Elephas maximus indicus: one gene and its partners. The protein of the gene in region 1 interacts with the protein of each later gene in a pairwise test. Links are inferred from orthologs where the notes say so. Each region holds a gene or a part of one and is shown on either strand. Other genes may lie near its edges.

Region 1 (7,382 bases):
AGTTTCCATGGAGTCCACTCTGGCTCATGGTAACCCCATGCGTATCACAGTAGAACTATGCTCCATGGGATTTTCAGTGGGTGATTTTTCAGAAGTATATCACCAGGCCTTTCTTTCGATGTGCCTCTGGGTGGACTCAAACCTCCAACCTTCTGGTTAGCAGTTGAGCACTAACCGTACCACCCAAGGTCTCCCCTCCTTAACCCTTCCATGGAACAAATGTCACGCCTGCCATTCCAGGATCCAGACTTGGAAATCATTTCCTAGGGGCCAGGTGCTTCACTGAAAAGAAGTCTTTAGCACATCTGAAGTTCTGGTTACTAAAAATTCTTGTTAGTTTGGGAGTCTCAACAAATATTCCCTTCTTCCCTAGTCCAACTTGAGATCAAGGTCCAGATCAGAAGGGAAAGCAGGCAAAACTGGCAGTGACTGTCCCGACCATGGTGGGTCAACTCCTTGGAACTAGAAGCAAGGAGAGAGGAGGGAAGGCAGTTCCCACTAAGCCCTGGTCCATGCAGTGGGCCCAGAAGCCCCACCCTAACATCCCTCTAGTACCAGTCAGCAAGGAGGGGAGATGACGCCTCTTTATTAAGGTTAACACCAAGGAAAGCATTGAGAAAGGGATACACAAAGGAGGGGGATGGGCACACAAAGTCACCACTTGAGGAGGCAGCAGGGAGGCACGTGAGTTAAGGAACCTCAGGACAGCCACATGCTCCATGCCCTGGTGGGGGTAGAAAGGGAGAAGGGGAAGCGCCATGACAGCTTGGGACTCAGAAGGGTCGGATGTCCCCTAAACCTAACGCCAGAGCCACAAGCCCTGCCCCTCAGGGCTCACACACTACTACACATGTGGACACACATAATACACACAAGACATCATGGAGGCAACACCGAGAGGCAGCGGGCAAGGATATTTTGGCAGCAAAAGGAACTGAAGTTAAGTGGATGTAGCCAGAAGAGAGAGAACTTTTGGCTGCGGCTCCCAAGAGTCCCTCAAACGTCCCCTAAATCTGGGCTACTGCTGAGCACCCGAGTCTCTGCCTGTGAGCTGGGTTCTTTGTTCTCTAAACCCCAGTGAGTGGAAAAGCAATCCCGGATGAAGTCAGTGACAAGGCAGGATCCGCTCTGCATGCAAAATCCTAGAGGTTGAACTATTATGTCTTCATGCACATTCACAGCCAGCTCCTCCCAGCCCAGGGGCCCTTGGAACCCCATTCACCCAGATTCCTAGGGCTGCGGTTCCCTCCTCAAGCTTCCTTTACCAATCAGGAGCCGCCGAGATCTGTGAGGGGGAGAGCCTTCTGCAGAGCACTGAATAAGTTGGGTTTCAGCAGAAGGGCAAATGTCCTGTTGCCAGAACAGAATACCCCAATTCCTTAATTTCTAGGTAAATCTTTAGAGATTATTTGCCATAGTCCTAGATAAGTCCTTTTTCAGAATAGAAAAAGCAGAATTTATTTACACAAGTCAGGGGTTCTCCTGTTGGCCGGAGAGGGGTAAGGGTAGGGTAGGGGATGGATAGGAGTCCAGAGACGGGCGCTTCCTCTCCTGGAGCCTCACCTTTCCGCCGTTTGCTACCTCTCGCTTGGTTGTGCAGAAAGAATTCTTGATGCTCCCAAAGTCCTTCACCTTACAAATCATTCCTCGGGAGTCTCTCCCTGCCTGATCTACGAGGTAGCATGCGGCACCGCGCCGTTCAGTCCTCTCACGTCATGCACTGGGAAACCCACAGCCAGCCCGGAAAGGTGCCTCTGCGGAGTCCCCTCACAGGGAGGCCTCGCCCTCCATCTGCAGAAGGGTGATGTCGGGAAGGTCGAGGGGCTCCACAAGTGGCCCGTCCCCCCCAAGGAGACCAGCGCAGGAGCTCTCGGGACGCTCACAGTGACTGGTGGGTGTGGCGGGGCTGGGCACTTCCTTCTTCTCTACTTCGTCGTCGTCGTCCTCCTCGTCCTCGGGTTCGCGACCCAGCAAGCCGCTGCCTCCGGCCCCAGGCGAAGGGTTCTCCGGCTCTTGGGGGGCGCCCGGGAAGCTCCCTTTGCCGCCGACCACGCCCAGGCCGCCCTGGCGGGGCGCCGTGGTCATAATCCGGCACATGGAGACGATGGCGCGCTGGTTGGCGCACACGTCGTCCGAGAGTACCTGGATGTGCGAAGCCTGCTCGTCCAGGGCCCCCCGCATGGCCCTCACGTCCTCAAACAGGGCCTGCAGCTGGGCCTTCAGGTGTTCCATCAGTTCCTTCATGCCGCCGTTGTACTCCCCGGCGATCACGTCCCCCACGGCCGGCACCGTGGACACCTCCAGAGGCGCCGGCATGTCGCCGCCGTCCTTGGTCATGATCTCCAGCAGACCGTCCTCCATTGAACGGCAGAAGCGGGCGGTGGCGGCTCGGGGTCCGGTCCGGCCGGGCCTCCGGGCGGGGGAAGGGCAAGGAGGGGGTCCCGGGAGGAGGCGGGGAGGAGCCCAGGGAAGAGGAGGCTCCCGAGAGGGGCGGGAAGCCGACGTAAGGATACGAGTCCTGGGCGGAGGGCACGGGCAGGCTCGGGGGAGTCCAAGGAGAAGCGGCGGGAAGAGGACCGGGCGAGGGTCCCAGTGCCGGCGTCTCTCGGGCTCGTCCCGGGGCGAAAGCTCCGCGCCCTGCCTGGGCTCCGGGGTTGCGCCCGTATCAGCGCCGCCCTCAGGGCGCCAGGAGCAGCGAGTGCCCGCCGGTTCCCTGAGTCACAAAGGCGCTCGCTGAGGGGCTCGGGCCGAGACAGAGGCCAGCAGCGCGTCCGGCTCGGGACTCCCCCCAGCCATTAACAGGCAGCGCCCGCGAGCGTGTTTGGAGCGGCTGGGGCCGACTTCCCCACTGCGCCGCGGATGCTCCTCTGTTTCCAAGGCGACGCACGGCACGTAAATGACGTATGTCTCCATAGCAACCAGGAAGTGGCGAAGAAAAAGGAACCGAGGCTCTGGAGTCGGAGCTAACGAGTGGGGCGGAAGGGAAGAGTAGAGCGCTGCAGTGGCCTCGGCGAGGCTGGAAAGAGCGTGTGGCTGCAATGTTCAATGGGGAAGCATGAGAAAGCAGTTTGCTGCGTAAACCCAAAAGCCCAGGGGGATCATCCCTTCCCCAGTCTGGGTATCAGACATTGAGTGCGACTGCCTCGGGAGCGTTCTCACCAGCGCGCATTCCCTTCCCTGAGGGATGGCGCAGAGCTGGGTCCTGCTTCTCTGTCCTCCAGCTGTCCGCAGGAACACGGAGAGGGTAGAGAGGCCCAAGCTAATCATCTGACTTGAGCTGGTGCGCCGCGGCACCCTGGATCCGGCCCCGCCAGGCTTCGGCAGGGTAGAAGGAGAGCACTACCGAGATTTCTGCCTCACACTTCGGCTTCTGCAGTAAATCAGCTGTCTTTGTAGAAAGCACAGAAACTGAGAAAGGATGGGATTCCCTTCCATGGAAGACCCAATCGCTCCTTCCCAGGTCACTAGGGTATTTTCCAGGACGGTGACGCGAAGCACTTAAGTGTTGAGAATGAAAGCTCTATGAAGAGCAGAGATTTTGCCTCTCCCTCCCACCCCCCAATCGCTGAATCCCTAGTGCCTGGAACATAGTAAGTAGGTGCTCAGTGTATTTGTTAAATGAATGCTTTAACAAGAACCACTGTGTCGTGTCCCATTCCCTCACCCAGGTGGATGTTGTTAGTTGCCATGGAGTCCATTCTGACTCATGGGCACCCCATGTGTGCAGAGTGGAACTGCTCCGTAGGGTTTTCAAGGCCGTGACGTTTTGGAAGCAGATCACCAGGCCTGTTCTCCTAGGTACCTCTGGGTGGGTTCAAAATGTCAACCTTTGGGCTAGTAGCATGCTTAACTGTGCTACCCAGGGACTCCTAGACGGAGGTTAACCAAAAACCGTGGCGTCCAACTCATTGTGATCCTATTGGACTGAGTAGAACTGTCCTATAGGGTTTCCAAAGCTGTAATCTTTACAGAAGCAGACTGCCACGTCTTTCTCCCTCAGAGCCACTGGTGGGTTGAACTACTGACCTTTGATTAGCAACAGAGCACTTAACCACTGTGTCACCAGGACTCCTAGATGAATGTTAGGAGACCTGAATTCAAGTTTTGATTCTGCTACTTATTAATTCAGAGACCTTGGCCAAATCATTTTCCTGATCTTCTAGGGGTCTGGACTGGATAATCTATAATATTATTTCTAACTCTGAGTAATGCTCTGTGTCAGCTTACGAATAAAGGCATAAACTGTTGACAGTTGTGTGGAGGGGATGGATGGGCGAACTGTGTGTGAGGATAATTTCCCCTCCCTCCACCCAGTGCAAATATACACTGAGTGTCCCAACCTTTGTGACAACCCCTTTCACTGTTTGAAAAGCCTAGTGGGAGGTGAAGATGAGGAAGAAAAAATTGGATTTAATATATTTACAGATGACAGTAAAGTGAGAAGCAGTCAGGCCCTGGGCAGCAACATACTAATTAATAATAAAACCAAAACCAAACCCACTGCCATGGAGTCACTTCTGACTCATAGAGACCCCACATGACAGAATAGAATTGCCCCCATAGGGTTTCTAAGTCTGTAAACCTTTAAGGAAGCAGACTGCCACATCTTTCTCCCATGGAGTAGCTGGTAGGTTCAAACTATCAACTTTTCAATTTGGATTCAAGTGCTTTAACCACTGTGCCACCAAGTCTCCTTAATTAAAATAAACCCAGTAAGTTGGAGAGGATCCCTGGTGGCAAAAAGGTTAAGCTCTTGGCTGGTAAACTGAAAGGTTGTCAATTCGAACCCACTCAGCTGCTCCGTAGGAGAAAGACCTGATGATCTGCTTCTGAAAAGATTACAGCCAAGAAAACCATATGGGGCAGTTCTGTTCTGTCACATGGGGTCACTATGAGTCAAAATCCACTCAGTGGCACCCAACAACAACAGTAAATTGGAGAAGCCAAGTGATCAGAAACCAAAAATGAAGTTCACAAGATCAAATAAATCTGGGGAGGAGAAACAAACAGCATCCCTTCAAGATGGGGACAAGATAGCTATGGGTGAGTGTTTTGTACACTAATGGTTCAATGAGAGCAAACTTGGTCCTTTGGGGCTTCCGTAGTGAAGAGTGGGGCCCAGAAAAACATTCATGGCACTAAAGAACTATTCGGTCTTTGCCTGTATTACTGCTATAAAGTAGAAATAAATTGGAAATATCCTAAATATCCAACAGCGGAATGTTTAAATAATCTAAAACATTGTTAATATAAAAAAGTAGTTATTAGAAACTTATTTCCTAAAACAAATATACAAAGATATAAAAGACCCATAATATTGTATTTTCTAAAACTAATGATTCAGTTGTACTGCTAGGTCTGTCCTTCCTTCATTCATTCATTCCACAAACTTGAGCACTCTCACCTTGGTTATCACTGTTGTCACAATGAGCCCCCACAGGTTAGCCCTAAAGCCCTGACTCAAAAGAGGACAGAAATGCTTTTCCTCGGTTTCCTTAAGGAAAAAGTGGACTGGTATTTACAAAAAGACTAAACAAAAAGCTATAGAAGAACTGGCAGCTGAGACAGGACACACAAAAACAGGTGAGCTTACACAGCATACGTTTCTGATCACACCACCTTGAGCTTGTTTCCAGAGCAGACATGGGGTTCAACCCTGCTGTCATCCTGCCTGGAGAGCTCTGCTATAGCCAGTAAAGCCTGGCATTGCTTTCAGGCTTTTTTCTTCAGGCTATTACTTCACATCTTTTCACCTGCACTTCAAGGGAAGGATTTCATCTTGCCAGTTCCCTCACCCTTCAGGTGGGTCCCTGCCTTCTGCCTACAAAGAGTGGCCCTCTCCCCATTATAGGCCTCCCATCTTAGCAATCCCTAAATTAAACATAGCCTCCAGGCAGTAGGAGCTGGGTTATGCCATCATATAGGCTCTTTGTCACAGTTGTTGAGTATACCATATATGTCAAGGCTTTCAGCATAGGATCACAAGATTACATCATGCTTTCCAGAGGCACTGGCCATGAAGTCTGCTGATAGAAAGGGGGTGCTGAGCCTAGAGGGAGGGGAAATTATTGGAGAAGCAAGAAAGAACATGGGAAACGCGTGCAGAGATCAAGGGGTGTGGCCGATCCAGTCAAGTTCCAGGTCAGACATTTAAGAGCCACGGGTAGGTGGGAACTGGGGGAGTGAATCAGTAGCAGGACTTGAAAATACAGGGAGGAGAACCAGATAATTTCAGAATTCTGTAGGAAAATCAGACAAGGAGGAGTAGGAGGAGGCTCTAGTCTCTGGAGAATAAGAAAAACAGAGGCAGAGAGCAAAGCAGAGACTCAGTTGGCTGGGTTACAGGACTGGGTACTCTGGATGTCATTGCCCTAAGGTTGTTGAGTGGGCCCATTCCCAAAAAAAAAGGAGGTTTAGGGACAACCTGGCCATCCCACTAGAGTATTCAGAGGGACTGACACATAGTGAGTAAAAATAAACCCTACACACTCCTCTTCTGCTTCCTGCCTTTCTCTTATCTTCTGGGAGCCGCCTTAGCTGTTCCATTCCTTCAGCCCAGTCTCATCAGCCCATGAGGGGAAGAGACCCCGTGATGCATAGATGTAGATCTCCATCAGGTACACCTAGTTCCAAACATCACATTCTCCCCAAGATTGTGATTCTAAATTGTCTCTGCCATTTTCCTCTATTCTGGTGTGTAGCTGATCTCCAGTTCGATTTTCTAAAGCTAGTGTGTCTTTTGCACTACAAATCCAACAGTCATGATGAAGCTGCTCCCTTGACTCAGACCTATAACAATTATTTAAATCAACATACAGCTGACTGCTGCATCTTAGGCCCCCAAATCCCAGGCAGTAACTCCCCCAAATTTAACTTTTATGAAGCTGAGCTGCCTTGTGGCTCATCTCAGCAAGATTTCACACCCAATAGCCAAAAATAATTAAAAAGCAATTTCAATTTTTTTATAGTCTCTGGGAAAAGTCTAATGGGGTTACATTCTCAGCACAGAGCAAAACATCTTAAATTCCTCTTCTCCCCTCCTCTATGCATTGCACGTTTTATGGCATAACTGTTGCCTCCAGTCTCTCTCCTTTTTCCTCAACACCTCAAACTTTCTCTTAATCCTAGCACTTGCTTTCTCAGTCCTTCACTCCTCTCACTTCTTGAATGTATTTTTCTCTTCTGCAAAAAGAAAGTCCTTGTCCTTCTAACATAAGGGAATCAAAGTTTGTTTCAGCTCCTTTGACTCTCTCCCTTGCTTCCCTAATCTGCACTAGTACCGAAAGCCCAACTCTTAAGGACAGGGGTCTCCTGAGACAGTAAGAGAGACTAAGAGGCTGAGAGTACTCATATTACTGGGGATTTTGTGTCACATAGACTAG
Region 2 (7,576 bases), on another chromosome or scaffold:
TTTTTGAGGAAGTGCCATATCGTTTTACATGGTGGTTGAACCAATTTACAATCCCAACAGCATGGAAGCAGAGTTCTAATCTCTCTGCAACCTCTCCAGCATTTGTTGTTTTCTGATCAGTGCCACTTTTGAAGTGATGAAATCGTATCTAATTGTAATTTTGACTTGCATCTCTCTGATGGCTAATTACTGTGATTATCTTTTCATGTGTTTGCTGGCCACTTGAATATCCTCTTTGGTGAGGTGTCTGTTCATGTCCTTTGCCCGTTTTTTAATTGGATTATTTGCCTTTTCACTGTTGAGTGTTAAGGTTTTCTGTGTATTTTAGAGACTAAACCCTTATCGGATATATCATTCTAAAAGATTTTTTTTCCCAATCTGTAGCTTCTTTTTTTAGTTTTTTGTAAACGTGATGGTTAAGGTTGTATGTCAATTTGCCTGGGCAATGATTCTCAGTAGCTTGGCAGTTATGGTGTAGTTTGGCAATTATGTAATGATGTAATGAACTCCATGATGAAATCTGCTATGAGCAGCCAATCAGTTGAAAGTGAGTTTCCTTGGGGGTGTGGCCTGGCTCCAGTATATAAATGGGTGTTACAGCAAGGCTTTCATACTAGATGCTATATCCGGCTTGTCATCATCTGACTTCCAGTTCTTGGGACTTGAACTAGCAGCTTACCTGCTGATCTTGGAGTTTGTCAGCCTCCATAGCCTGTGAACCAGTGACATGCCATCTGACCTGACAATCTTGAGCTCATCAGCCCTTGTAGATACATGAGTCAGGAGAAGCCTCCAGCCTAAAGCCTGACCCATGAACTTAGGACTTGCCAGCCTCTACAACCACATGAGCCATTTCCTTGAGATAAATCTCTCTCTGCACATGTACATATATACACATATATATATACACATACACACACACACACATATATATATACCTCATGGGTTTTGCTTCTCTACAAAATCCATCCTAAGAAGATAAAATTTTTGGTGAGCATAAGTATTTAAATTTTAGGAGGTCCCAGTTATCTAACATGTCTTATGTTGCTTGTGTACTTATAGTTGTGTTTGATAATCTATTACTGAAAAAAATTAGGTCCCATAATTTTGTCCCTGTATTATCTTCCAGGAACTTTATAGTTTTGGCTTTAACATTTAGGTCTTTGATCTATTTTGAGTTAGTTTTTGTGTATGGTATTAGGTATGGATCCTGTTTCAATTTTCTGCAAATAAATATCCAGTTTGGCCAGCACCATTTGTTAAAGAGACTGCTTCTTTCCCATTGAATGGACTTTGACTCTTCATTGAAAATCAGCTGCCCATAGACAGATGGATTTATTCCTGGGTTCTCAATTCTATTTCATTGGTTTATATGTCTGTCATTGAACCAGTACCAGGCTGTTTTGTTTATTGAGGCTGTATAGTATGTTGTGAGATCAGGGAGTGTGAGGCCTCCTACTTTGTTCTTCTTCTTCAATATTGCTTTGGCTATATAGGGTCTCTTTCCTTTCTGTATAAAGTTAGTATATTTTTCCACTTCATTAAAGAATGTTTTTGGAGTTTGGATTGAGATTGTATTATATCTATAGATCACTTTGGGTAGTGGTCATGGATTGAATTGTGTCCCCCCAAAATATCTGTCAACTTGGCTAGGTCATGATTCCCAGTATTGTATGATTGTCTATCATTTTGTCATCTGATGTGATTTCCCTATGTGTTGTAAATCCTATTGCTACGATGCTAATGAGGTGGATTAGTGCCAGTTATATTGATAAGATCTATGAGATTAGATAGAGTCTAAAGCCAATCTGTTTTGAGATATAAAAAAGAGAAGTGAGCAGAGAGACATGGGGACCTCATACCACCAAGAAAGCCTGCTGGAAGCAGAGCGTGCCCTTTGGACCTGAGGTTCCTGTGCTGAGATGCTCCCAGACCAAAGGAACGCTGATGCATCACAAAGACCTTCCTCCAGACCCAAAAGAGAGGGAAAGCCTTCTCCTGGAGCTGGCACCCTGAATTTGGACTTCTAGCCTACTAGGCTGTGAGAGAATAAACTTCTCTTTGTTAAAGCCATCTTCTTGTGGTATTTCTGTTACAGCAGCACTAGATGACCAAGACAGTGGCATTAACATTTTCACAATGTTAAATTTTCCAATCCATGAGTATGCAATATTTTTCCATTTATGAAGGTCACTTTTAGTTTCTTACAGTAGTGTTTTATAGTTTTCATTGTATAGGTCTTTTACATCCCTGGCTAGATTTATTCTTAGGTATTTTATCCTTTTGAGGGGTATTGTAAACTGTATTTTTAAAATTTCCTTTTCAGGGTTCTCCTTGTTAGTGTAAAGTAACCCGACTTATTTTTATGTGTTGATCTTGTACTCTGCCACTTTGCTGAATCCTTCTATTAGATCCAGTAGTTTCTTGTGGAATCTCTGGGATTCTCCATGTAAAGAATCGTGTCATCTGCAAATAGAGAGAGTGTTACTTCTTCCTTTCCAATTTGGATCCATTTTTTCTTTTCTTGTTTTATTGCTCTGACTAGGACTTTCAGGATAATATTGAATAAAAATGGTGATAGCAAGCATCCTTGTGTTGCACCTGCTCTCAAGGGGGAGGCCAGTTAATTATCTTTTAAGGATATTTAGCAATAAGAAAAAAATTTTTTGTATATTTACCTAAGTAGTTTCCATTTCCAGTGTTCTTCCTTCCTTTGTGTAGATCCATATTTCCATCTAGTATCATTTTTCTTCTGCCTGAAGAACTTCCTTTAGCATGTGTGAGTCTGCTGGTAATGAATTCTTTCAGCATAAGTATGTCTGGGAAAATCTTTATTTCATCTTTGTTTTTGAAGGATGTATTCATTGGGTATATATATATATATATATATATATATATATATATATATATATATATATATATATATATACATAGACAGTTTTCCTTTCTTTTTTTTTCCCCCTTAGTATTTTTTCTTCTCACTTGCATTCCTTTGGTGTGAAACATTCTGTCATCCTTATCTTTTTCTTTCCGTACATAATGTGTCATTTTCCTCTGGCTGCTTTAAAGATTTCCCCTTTATCACTGATTTTGAGCAGTTTGGTTATGATATGCCTTCGAGTGGTTTAATTCATGTTTTTTGTGCTCAAGCTCATTGACCTTTTCAGATCTGTGGGTTTTACAGGTTTCCAAAATTTTTAAAATATTTTTCCCACCCCTCCCTTCCTTTGGGGTTTGCAATTACATATGTATTAGGCCATTTGAAGTTGTGCTAAAAAATTACTACAGAGTATTCCTGAATATTCTCTACTCAGTTTCTCTAATTGTTTTGCTTTTTTCTTCCTCTTTCTGTTTTTCTCTTTCTCTCTCTTTGTCTCTCTGTCTCTCTCTCCACACACACACACAGTCACATATGGACACACATATGCACACACACATTGTTTTTTCTGAGCGTTTCGAGATTCAGTTGCAAACATGATGCCCCATTATTCCTTAATGCTTGAGTATGTATTTTCTAAGAAAAAAGAACTCTTCTGTACTACTATAGGTTTGATAGAAGATAGATCACACTTCAGTATTTCAATTTATTAACACTGCATACAGTCATAAATATTCAATAAAGACAGTTTCATGAAATTAAACTCTTGTATTTTAGCATTTTATTTTAGGGACAGTTTTAAATTGATTGATTCACTAAAATCAGGGATTGATAGTTCAAAAGGAATTTATAGTTTAAAGGAAAAATTACAACAATGAGGATCAAGAAAATGAATACCTATTGTATTTAAAGTAGAGATTCACATGGTAACAAGTGAAATACAAAATACCCAATTTTACTTTTCTATTTTTAGAATAGACATTTGTGGTTTTGTTTCATCAAAGCAGTATTAAATCATTGTTTATTTTAATATTATTAATTTTATACTTAGATGGTGCAGATTGATTTGGAATTTATGCATTTTTTAAGGGCCTGTAGACATAAAGAATATATATCATGTGTATGTTTAAGTAAGGAGCCCTGGTGGCACTGTGATTAAGCCCTTGGCTGCTAACTGAAAAGTCTGCAGTTCACACCCACCAGCCACTCTGCCAGAGAAAGATGTGGTAATTTGTTTCTGTAAAGATTATAGCCTAGGAAACCCTGTATGGCAGTTCTATCCTGTCCTATAGGGTTGCTGTGAGTCCATATCCACTCAAGGGCACACAACAACAATATTGTTTATATTATATTTAAATAACATTAGAGGAGTAATAGTTTGTCATTGATCCTGGATTTCCTGTTTTTTTTTTCCTTGCAGGAAGGTCCAATCATTATTTAAGACAGAAACGTGCTATGCTAGGCCCATAGATAAAATAAGGACCTAGAAATGATTATGGCCAGTACCCACATTTGTATTGTAACCGAAGATGAATTCCAATCTGCATGGGACATCTGTGTTTTTTTGTGACTAGAGCCGTGACAAAAGTTCCTGTTTTTCATAACTCACTTTTGCCTATTACCAACCTGTAGAAAATAAAGTTTAAAGAAGTCAGCTGGAGCTGCCTGCTTTCAACACCCAAAGCTAGTGATGCAAGGCCGTGTCAGCCCAAAGATTCCTCCTGACACTTGGGCACCCCAGTAAGGTAAGATGCTGCAGACCGAAAGGAGCTTCTGCCAGGCTCTCCAACGAGTCCTCACCAAGATCATCATCACATGGTGCAGATATCGTCAAACACACAATTTGCCTTTTGAATTTGTGTGTTCACTCTGCAGAGTTCAACCTGTTTTCACTATACCAAATTTCGTAAGTTTGTCTTAAACACCCATTCATCGTTTTAAACACTTTTTTTTTTTGTGGTACCAATATTGTCCTTTTTAATTTTCTTTAGAGTCGCAGAAGGATGCTGGCTGTTGTCTATGAACACACAGAAATTATAAATCATCTGTGACAGAGGAAACAGTTCGTCTGAAGAGGATACCAAAGGAAAAACTAAGAGAAACAAAAACATGGAGCTGCAGCAAATGGATGAAGAAGAGGAAAAAGAGAAGACCACCAGGTCTCAGCCCGAAAGTAAGACTTTTTGGTATAGCACTATATAGTTTCTAAATGGATCACACAAATTCATCTAAATGAACAAAATATGAATGTAAAAACGTTAAGTCTTTTTGTAAGAATCATACTTGTTGAGAACTAATTTAATTATTCAAATTAAAAACTAATATCTAGAGGCTTCTGCCTAAAATATTACGTATAAAAACCTTGGCTTACTTGTTATACTCTGTTTATGCTTTTCTGTTTCGCTTTTCTCAATTCCTCAGGACAGGGCAATGGTGCAAAAAGGGTTTACCAGAAATGAGTATTGAGCAACAGTCTCATCTTAAAATACTTTTGCAACTCGTTATGCAAAATCACTGTTGCAGAAAAATTGAGTTCCATTAAGCGCTATTCAGCAGACCAGTTATACCGTCTCTCTACCAGACTTTTTAAACCCATTCCTTTTCACAGGGAAGTTTTGTTCTCTTTGTATGCATACAGCAACCAATACATGCTAAACTGAAGTCCCTTACAACAAGTATGCAAATGTATTAGAAGAAAGTTTTCACTTAATTGAAGTTTGGGTTAAAATTAAAATACAACAATGCCATTTTAGGAATTGCAGGTGTCTTATTTACCTAGTGCTGCTATAACAAAAAATACCACAGGTGGAAGGCTTTAACAAAGAGAAATTTATTCTCTCACAGTCTAGGGAGTTAGAAGTCCAAATTCAGGGCACCAGCTCCAGGGAAGGCTTTCTCTCTCTGTTGGCTCTGAGGGAAGGTCCTTGTCATCAATCTTCCCTGGTCAAGGAGCTTCTTAGCACAGGGACCCCAGGTCCAAGGGAAGCGCTATGTTCTTGGTGCTTCTAACTTGGTGGTATGAGGTCCCCCTGTCTCTAGGCTTGCTTCTCTCTTTTATATCTCAAAAGAGATTGGCTTAAAACACAATCTAGTCTTGTAGATTGAGTCCTGCCTCATTAACATAACTGCCGCTAATCCCATGTCATTAACATCATAGAGATAGGATTTACAACACATAGGAAAATCACATCAGATGACAAAATGGTGGACAATCCCACAATACTGGGAGTCATGGCCCAGCCAAGTTTACAGATATTTGGGGGGCACACAATTCAATCCATGACAGTAGGCAAGGATAAAATTTTACTAATACCAAAATAATACAATTTCCACTACTTGTTTTCTACTCCTCCTTGTGTACCATGCACAGAAAAATAAATAAGCTTACTAAACAAAAAGGAACTTGCTTTTCTATGAGTTACCCATTGTGCCCTTTTCTTTTTAAAGTAATTTTTCTAATTTTACTTAGATTTTGAATGCAAGCAAAAAAGTCATTTGCTTTGGAGAGTCATTTTTTAAAAGGAAAAGAGCTTTGGGTCTTCTGTGGTCTTTGATAGTGCACTTGGATTCTTTATTTTTTAGTGGTTAAGGATTTGCATTTTGTGTTGGACACTAGGATTTGAATCTAGGTTCTTCTACTTACTGGTGCTGGGACTGTGGATAGGAGACTTGAAGTCTTATTTTCCCCCTTTGTCAAATGGGGTTGAGTAGGGCACATCTAATAAATTTGTGATGAGAATTATACGAAATTATATATGAAAATGTTAGCACAGTGCTTGGCAATTGTAACTGCAACAGCAAGTATTGGTTATCTTTAATATTGGTATTAGTATTATCCTATGAGTCGGAATCGACTCGGCGGCACTGGGTTTTTTTTTTTAGTAGTATTATGGGATTTCCCTTTTTTAATAATCTGGAGCTGGCTGATTATTTTATGTTTGAATCTTGAGCTTCAAGGTTTAGAATCTGTATTCTCTGGTAAGGCTGTGTGTGTTGAGTACTGATGGATTTTTTGCAGTACCGAAATACAGCCTTCCTCACATATCTAGAAACAACTTAGAACTTCTAAGATGTAGAAACATTTAAAACCTTAAAAATAAACCTATCACCTTACAAATTCTCATTTACATATTTCTATAAATTACGTGTTATATAAAGAAGCTATAAAAGATTCACCTGTGAATCTGAGGATATTTCTTTAGTCTGAGTGTACTGGAGAAAAATTTATATTATGTCACATACTGTATGTTTTCTTCATAAAGCTAATCAGTGAATTGAACAGTAATATGATAATACATATCACCAGGGGCTATTTTTGTAAGGACTGTAGGTACAGAATTTCTGAAGCTGGCATTTGAGGGCTATGATCTAGCTGCTAATTAAGGATGGCATATCAGTTACGGTCCCAACAGGAAACAGATGATACATTCAAATTAACCACCCACTGCCCTTGAGTCGATTCCGACTCATAGCAACCCTATAGGACAGGGTAGAACTGCGCCATAGAGTTTCCAAGGAGCACCTGGCAGATTTGAACTGCCGACCTCTTGGTTAGCAGCCATAGCACTTAACCACTACACCACCAGGGTTTCCACATTCAAATTAGAATAACTCAAAACCAAAACCAAACCCACTGCCATTGAGTCGATTCCGACTCACAGCGACCCTATAGGACAGAGTAGAACTGCACCATAGAGT
Region 3 (7,387 bases), on another chromosome or scaffold:
GGCAGTAGAGCTTCACCATGGCCTCGCCTGGGATATCCGACAGGCCTGCGAGACAGCCAGACTCAGCCGACTGGGCACCTTCTAACCTGCACAACTTTCACCCAGGACTTGGGCCCCGACTTGCTAAGTCCCAACACATTCCCAGGGCACCTGCCATATGTCATCTACCACTATCCAATACTCACCAATGGGGAGCATTGGCTGGTTCTCACAGTACACACGGGGACAGTAGCCAAAGTCTCCTTGCTGGTATTTTTCCAACTGAGGTAAATAAAATGGCGAAGACTGGTAGACAGGTGTGAAATGATGCAACCCACATAGTGCTAACTCCCCCCTCAGCCCAACCTATATCACTGTGCCCCTAATCCTTCCACCTCTGTCCAGAGGCCCCTTCCCTAGCCCAGACAGACCCTCAGACTCTGCTGCCTCCTTTCCTCCAGTCAGGCAGGCTGCAAACCAGAGTCATTCACTGTTTGTTCCCCAAGAAAGAGATAGTCTGCAAGAACTTCCCATTCAGGGTCATGTCTCCCTCCTGAAAACAGCCTCCCACAACATGCCCCGAAATCAGGACTCAACTCCCAGGCCCAGATTCTGGGCTTCTTCCCCTCTTCTCAGCTAGACTCCCTGGCAAAGTTGAAATGTATGACTTCTTGCTGCTGGAACCTGTTTCCCTTATTGCCTCAAAAGGAGTCAAGTGGGAGTAGAGTCCTCACCATCTGGGCGATGCCACGGTTGGTGAGGATGTAGCGGGCGTGGATCAATCCATACAGCATCTCAGCTGCCTGCTCAATCAGGTCACTCTGGTTGGGGTTGTCTTCCAACTCTTCATCTGAAACATGGCCCGGCCCAAATGCAACCACTTGCCATTCAGCCTTCCTGAGGGTGCTCCACTCACTCCCAGTGGCTGCTGGCTACTCAATTTGCCCACCACCTATCTCTGAGTCTCACCCCACCCATCACCTGGACATTCAACCCGTAAACCTAGGTTTCTGACCCCTTCCACCAACCCAGGGCAGCTCTGCCTTCCCTCCACACCTCTTCAGCCTCCGTTCTCTTCTCTACCCCTACCTCGCTTCTCAATACATAAATGCAAAGATGTCAACGCAGAAGGTGGAACTCTAGACTGGAAGGTGCAGGGCAGAAGAAACAGGCAGAAAACAAGACACTTGGGGAAAGTGGCATTATGGAATAAAGCCGAATTACAGAATCAGTGAGCACAGGAACAGATGGCAGATGTCACTAAACCAGGCAAGAGCCAGGTGGAGAATCAAAGTGAAGGAAGAGATTTTGGGATAAAGGAGACAAAGAGCCAAAAGAAAATTTAGAAATTCAAGAAACAGGGGAATTGGGATTTTGAGAGGAGGAAAAATCAAAACAAAACAACAACCCTGAAAGTGCCTCACCAGGCTCCAGGTCCAAGATCATGTCAAGGGCTTGTCGATAGTGGGGTACCTGCTCATTGAGCCCTGTGAGGTTGAACTTGTCTTGGATGTAGTCTTCATCCACCTGTCAGGATGTGGAAGTGAAGAAGGAAACCACAAAGAAACTCCAGGCTTTGGCACAGACATGTTGCTCTAACTGATGCCTTGTTCTCAACACAACTGCTTCTGTTCCCGTCATCCCCCACCCCAAACTCAAAAGAGGTACTCACACACTCCCTCTCCTAAAAGCCCTGGCCTTTCTTTTCTAAGGATGTCTCCTCAGATAGACATTCTTTTCAAGTTCCCTATCCGTACTCCTGCACCCCATCTCTAGGAACCAGTTTTGTTCTCTCTTTAAGGATAGCTGGCTCTCTGAGGAAGGTGGAGACTGACAGCTCAGATTCTGAAGGTTACAATCCCTTACGTTAACAGAGAACTTTACACATTACCAAACATTTTAACAGGTAGTATTTCAATTCTCGTAACAGCCACCTGAGACAGGTACTATCAGTACTATTCTAGTGATAACAAAGACATGGATTGACCTTCTCGACATCTTCCTGTCGGAAGATGGAAGGCTTGGGACTTGAGCACCAGTCTTGCCGCTTCACTACAGGTTAATGGGAGGTACTGAGGGGACACTTCCTTGACAAGAGGGAGTTTCCATGGAAGCATCGGAAAAAATTATAAGAAGGCTGAATATGTGTGGGAACGCCTGGGGTCAGAGTCTGTGTGGAGCTGCGCTGGCAAGCAGGGAGACTGAGGAGAACTCACTTCACAGAAGAACTCATTGCCACGGAGCCCACAGAACCAGGAAATCCAGGACACCTCCTCTGAACTGCTCATCTTTACGTCAGCTTGAAAAATAAGGGTGTAAGTAAAGCCGGTGACCCAGAGCTTTCCCTCCCTCCCTCTGTCTCTAGTATCCTCCCTCCTCCCACACTTCACCTTCCAACCACAGAAGAACCTTGGGGTCAGCCTTTCTTAAAGGAGAGCCCTGGTGCTGGAGTGGTTAAGAACTATGGAGAGCTGCTACTGCTAACCAAAAGGTGGCAGTTTGAATCCACCAGCTGTTCCTTGGAAGCCCTATGGAACAGTTCTCCTCTGTCCTATAAAGTCTTCAGTAGTCAGAACTGACTCGATGTCAACGGGGTTTTTTAACGGGGTTTCTTAAAGACTCCCAGACTCCGGAGCACCCCTCTCCAACTCCTTTTATTTACACCTCAGCCCCTTTTCTCTGCAGTTAGAAATCCTGTGCAGTCCACTTGCAAGAAACCAAGAGATGTGACCCACCAGTCCTACCCGCATCCCTGGCTCTCCCGCAAGCCGGGCCCCTCTCCCTTCCGTGTCAACTCCAGCAGGGTCCTCGACTCCGGCTCCCTACCACAGTAGGGCTCTGCAAGTTTCCGGAGCCTTTCCCAAAGGTCCCGAAGTTTATCCTTCCCGGGAAAGAGCCCGGCCCCTCCTTTTCTGACGGCCTGCGGGTGACTGTCAGATCCCTTCCACAGGAGCCCGCACATACCGCAGCCGCCCCCCAGGACACCCCTCCCTCCCTCCCTCCCTCAATGCCGGACCGGGTCACTTCCTTCCCCGCCCCCACATCGAGGCGCAGAGACCCCATGTGCAGCGCCAACGAAGAAGAAGGCTCGGCGCGGCGAGGACCTCAGACTAACCTGCTGGACAGGGGCCGGGAGTGGGGCGGGGAGGGGAGTTGCTGCTTCCAAGCGACAGCTACAACGAAGGCCGTGGACCCGACCGCGGCAGGCGACGCGCGGTGGGGGGAGTGGAAATTGGGGAGGGTGGGGAAAAGAGCAACGCGCAAGCGCCAAAGGTCCGGCACCGCGGTGGACGCCGGGAAATAGAGTCCCCGGTAGGGACAAACTGGCGAAACGAGGGAAAAGCTAACTACGAATCCCAGGATGACCCGCACACGACTCTGGTTCGCTGGGCCCGCGAGGAAGACGCTCGAGGGCGGGGCGCAGCGAGGCGCCACCGGAAGCGGAAAACAAATGCCGCATTCGGGGCCAGAGCCTGGGAAATACAGAGTTTTGCTCCTAGGACTGAGGGGCCGAGTGGGGGCGGGGAAATCAGCGCGCCAGGCTGAAGTCTCTCCCTGCCTCTCTCCTCACTGCTTGATACTCAAGTCCTGGCTAAGCGCCTCCGCCCTGGAGTCTAGTCCTGTTTATTCCTAGTCTCGTCCAGGCCGTCGCGTCTTTCTTGCCTGTTAGGTCCCTTGCCCCAGTCAGGCCTATTCCTGGGGCTTCCCCTTCTCCATAGGGCCCACGTTTCACCCAGAGCCCCGGCCTCCTGAGAAAGAAAATGCTCCGTGCTGAGAGACCTAGGTGGGCTGGACTGGGCTGGGCTGGGCTGGGCTGAGCGATGTGAGAACCGGGACGGCCCAGTGCGCTAACCTGAGGTGGCACCAGCCATCCTGGCGCTTGTCCCCTTGCACTTTTCCATATCCTCTTAGGCCTTGAATAGGACCTTCGACTGCGGGCTCAAAGTGTAACCTTCGAACCTTGGTCAGAGTAATGGTGAGGGGCAGGGTGACGTTATTTCATGTCACAGCTTCTTGGCATTGCAGATTTCCCTCCTCAGTGCCTTTCCTAAGTCAGGGAATGGTTTCCCGGCTCCAGAAAATGAGCTCGGAGCGGAGGGTCACCTCGAGGGAGGTGGAGGGCATTGTGGGGCGTTATGTAAAAGCAGGACCCCAACCGACAGATCTTCTTAGGTCCTCGCGCCGCCGAGGCACGCGACCCTTTGCAGATTGACTATTGGAAAGACTCCAGGGCGGGAAACTGAACCCGGCGCTTCACGCCTGCGCTCTGATGTAATCATGGCTTTTTTTTTTTTTTTTCCTGCCACGCATGCGTTGTCTTGTCTTGTGGCTATTTGATTGTAGCGTATCTTTTGATTAGAGTAGCGCCATTCTGCCGTACGGAAGCCACAAAGCAATGCAGGCGGAGCCTCTTGCCGAAATCTGCTTCCGGAGAAGTGCCGAGACTGTTTTTGTTTGAAAGACGGAACCCCGAAATAGGAGCAGGAAGATTTAAAGGGCCAGGCCGGTTTTTTTTTATCTTAAACGTATGTCATTTGGTGTGGAAAAGTCGGTTCAGAGAGAGGCTCTCATTACTTTTATATGAGAGCGGGGTGGCAGGGCGGGACATAGGCCCTCTGAGCAACTCTCTCATGGAATTTTCTTTGTTGACATTTAGCAAGGAGCAGGTTATTGTAGGGTTTCCTGTTTTTACATGTGACCTATAACCCTTGGAGCCCTGGTGGCGCAGTGGTTACGAGCTTGGCTGCTAACCAAAATGTCGGCGATTGGCATTCACCAGCCGCTGCGTGGAAACCCTGTGGGGCAGTTCTACTCTGTCCTCCTGTAGGGTCGCTATGAGTCGGTCCTTAGGCGCTTAGGCCCTGCCGGGCCTTAGATTGTGGGGTCACTTTTGGGGCAGGAGGGGATCTTGGATTCTAAGGCTACTTTTCTTCCTTTCGGCAGCTTCCTGGAGGTGGATCTCGGCACTACAGGGGCTTTTGGGCAGTTGGCTTGCTTTTCTCAGCCTTCCCTTGCCCAGCCTCATTTTCTCAGCTCTCACAAAAGCCATGTCCAGGCCGTCCCTCATCACCTTCACCCCAGCCAGCGATTCTAGTGACCTCTGGAAAGATGGGCAGCAGCAGCAGCCACAGCCTGAGGAGCCAGAACCCGCCTTGGATGGGTCTGCAGTCCGTGCTTTCTACGAGTCACTGATAGAGAGCGAGAGCAGCTTTCCTGAACCCCAAAGATCGCACCCTGAGCCTGCCAGGGAGAAAAAGAGGAAGAAAAGAAGACTGATGAGGGAGGCTGCGGCAGAAGCAATGGCAGTGGCAGAGGCAGCATCAGGGGTACATGGACAAGAGGGATCCCTTGAGGCAGAGGACAAGCTAACCCAGTGGATACTGAGGGCAGCTCAGGAGGGGGACCTGGCAGAACTTCGAAGGCTGCTGGAACCCAGTGAGACAGGAGGAGCTGGGGGGAATATCAATACCCGTGATGCCTTCTGGTGGACTCCCCTGATGTGTGCTGCCCGAGCTGGCCAGGGGGCAGCTGTGAGCTATCTCCTGGGCCGAGGGGCTGCCTGGGTGGGAGTTTGTGAGCTGGGTGGCCGGGATGCTGCCCAGCTGGCGGAAGAAGCCGGCTTCCCCGAGGTGGCCCGCATGGTCAGGGAGAGCCATGGAGAGACGAGGAGCCCTGAGAACCGGTGAGAAAGTCTTAGCCCATGCACATATTTCAAAGTGTTCTGCTCTTCTTACTCACTCTGCACCAGAGGCCCCAGAACAGAGCTGAGGGTCCCCCTGCCCCATGTAGGTTGATAAGGCAATGTAGTAGCATGGTTACAGACATGAGCTCCATTGGTTTGAATCCTAACTCCACTTACTTGGGCAAACAACCTAAATGCTATGTGTCTCAGTTTCCTTATCTGAGAGATGGTGGGTAATAATAGTACCTTTCTCGTAGGGTTAAGATTAAATGGGCTAATACGTGCAAACTACTAGAGCAGTGCTTGCCATGTAGTTGTTAGTTGCCATTGAGTCAATTCTAATTCACGGTGACCCCATGTGTACAGAGTAGAATGCTTCATAAGGTTTTCAAGACTTTGACCTTTTGGAAGTAGATTGCCAGGCCTGTCTTCCTGGGTGGATTTCAACTGCCATCCTTTTGGTTAGTAGTGGAGTGCGTAGCCATTAGCCTCACCCAGGGGCTCCTTTGCTACATGGTAAGTACTATATAAATATTAATTGTAATCATTATTATTCCTTCCTCCAAAAGTCTTGTGAGGCCTAGTTACCATTTCTTCTCCCAGCCATTCCCCTCTGGGTTTCTCATTGCTAAGTGGGGAGGAAAGCAATTTGTTCCTTAGCAGAAGGGCTGAAAAGACCTTGTCCCACCCTGCCAGCACCCCTGAAGCTTCTGTACCCTTCTCCTGACCCATAACCCCCTCCCTCAACTCCTTCTCTTCTTCCTCTGCAGGCCCCAATCTCGCGCCTCCCACTATTGCGAGACCTGTGACGCCTACTTCCAAGATGCCAACCACTGCACATCCACCGCCCACCTGCTGTCACTGTCCCAGGGTCCCTGCCCCCCTAGTCTTCCCCCTGGGGTGCCTGCCTCCAGCCCAGGCTTCAGGTTGCTGCTGAGGGGAGGCTGGGAGCCAGGGATGGGGCTTGGACCCCGAGGTGAGGGTCGCACCAACCCTATCCCCACTGTCCTTAAGAGGGACCAGGAGGGTCTTGGCTACAGATCAGCACCCCAGCCCCGGGTCACACACTTCCAGGCTTTGGATACCCGGGCTGTGGCTGGGCGGGAGCGAGCGCCTCGGGTGACCACACTGAGCCGGAAAGAGGAGAGAAGGCGAGAGGAGAAGAGCAGGGCTTGGGAGCGGGATCTCAGGATGTACATGAACCTTGAATTCTGACCTTGGTGAGGTTTGACCCTGGTCTGCTGCCAGAGTCTGAACTTTGGCCCATGACTTGGGTACTTTAGCCTGTACTCCCAGAGGTCTGCCCAGGTCCCAGACCCTCAGGTTTTGGTCACTGGGCCCTCCCTGCCTTTTGGGAGAGAAGGGCTGAGAGTTGAGAAATAAATCAATCTTCATTCTCTTTCCTAATCTGTTCATTTTTCTGGAAGCTGTTGTGGGGGAAGCCAAACTGAAGTCTGGGGGCCACATTAGCATGGCCAATTGGAGCCACAGGAGCAGCTACCTCCAGATGGCATGATAGAGTCATCTCCCTACCAATCTGGTTCTTTTGGAGGCCTGTTGTTGTTCTTAGGTGCCGTCAAGTCGGTTCCAACTCATAGTGATCCTGTGTACTACAGAACGAAACACTACCTGGTCCTTCACCATGCTCACAATTGTTATGCTTAAGCCCATTGTTGCAGCAACTGTGTCACTCCATCTCCTGGAGGGTCTTCCTCTTTTTCGCTG

The links.
Region 2: the proteins of CCDC184 (region 1) and STX11 interact in binary tests that used the Homo sapiens proteins (3 or more experiments, as listed by UniProt). The two-hybrid records come from large-scale screens. The link is inferred for Elephas maximus indicus from reciprocal best matches to the Homo sapiens genes CCDC184 and STX11.
Region 3: the proteins of CCDC184 (region 1) and GPANK1 interact in binary tests that used the Homo sapiens proteins (3 or more experiments, as listed by UniProt). The two-hybrid records come from large-scale screens. The link is inferred for Elephas maximus indicus from reciprocal best matches to the Homo sapiens genes CCDC184 and GPANK1.

What each region holds. Positions count from the first base shown.
Region 1 is NC_064822.1:103,058,392-103,065,773, reverse strand, and holds CCDC184 (coiled-coil domain-containing protein 184), read right to left. Parts: upstream 2,860-7,382; 5' UTR 2,362-2,859; coding exon 1,768-2,361; 3' UTR 567-1,767; downstream 1-566.
Region 2 is NC_064819.1:214,682,163-214,689,738, forward strand, and holds the start of STX11 (syntaxin-11), read left to right. Parts: upstream 1-4,528; 5' UTR 4,529-4,623; exon of another isoform or gene 4,624-4,784; intron 4,785-4,869; 5' UTR 4,870-4,987; coding exon 4,988-5,051; intron 5,052-7,576. UniProt on the Homo sapiens protein: SNARE that acts to regulate protein transport between late endosomes and the trans-Golgi network.
Region 3 is NC_064819.1:93,194,578-93,201,964, reverse strand, and holds the start of GPANK1 (G patch domain and ankyrin repeat-containing protein 1), read left to right. Parts: upstream 1-4,339; 5' UTR 4,340-4,505; intron 4,506-4,923; 5' UTR 4,924-5,027; coding exon 5,028-5,662; intron 5,663-6,432; coding exon 6,433-6,877; 3' UTR 6,878-7,387. Other genes in the region: CSNK2B (casein kinase II subunit beta), read right to left, coding at 1-45, 186-285, 714-829, 1,404-1,506, 2,196-2,267.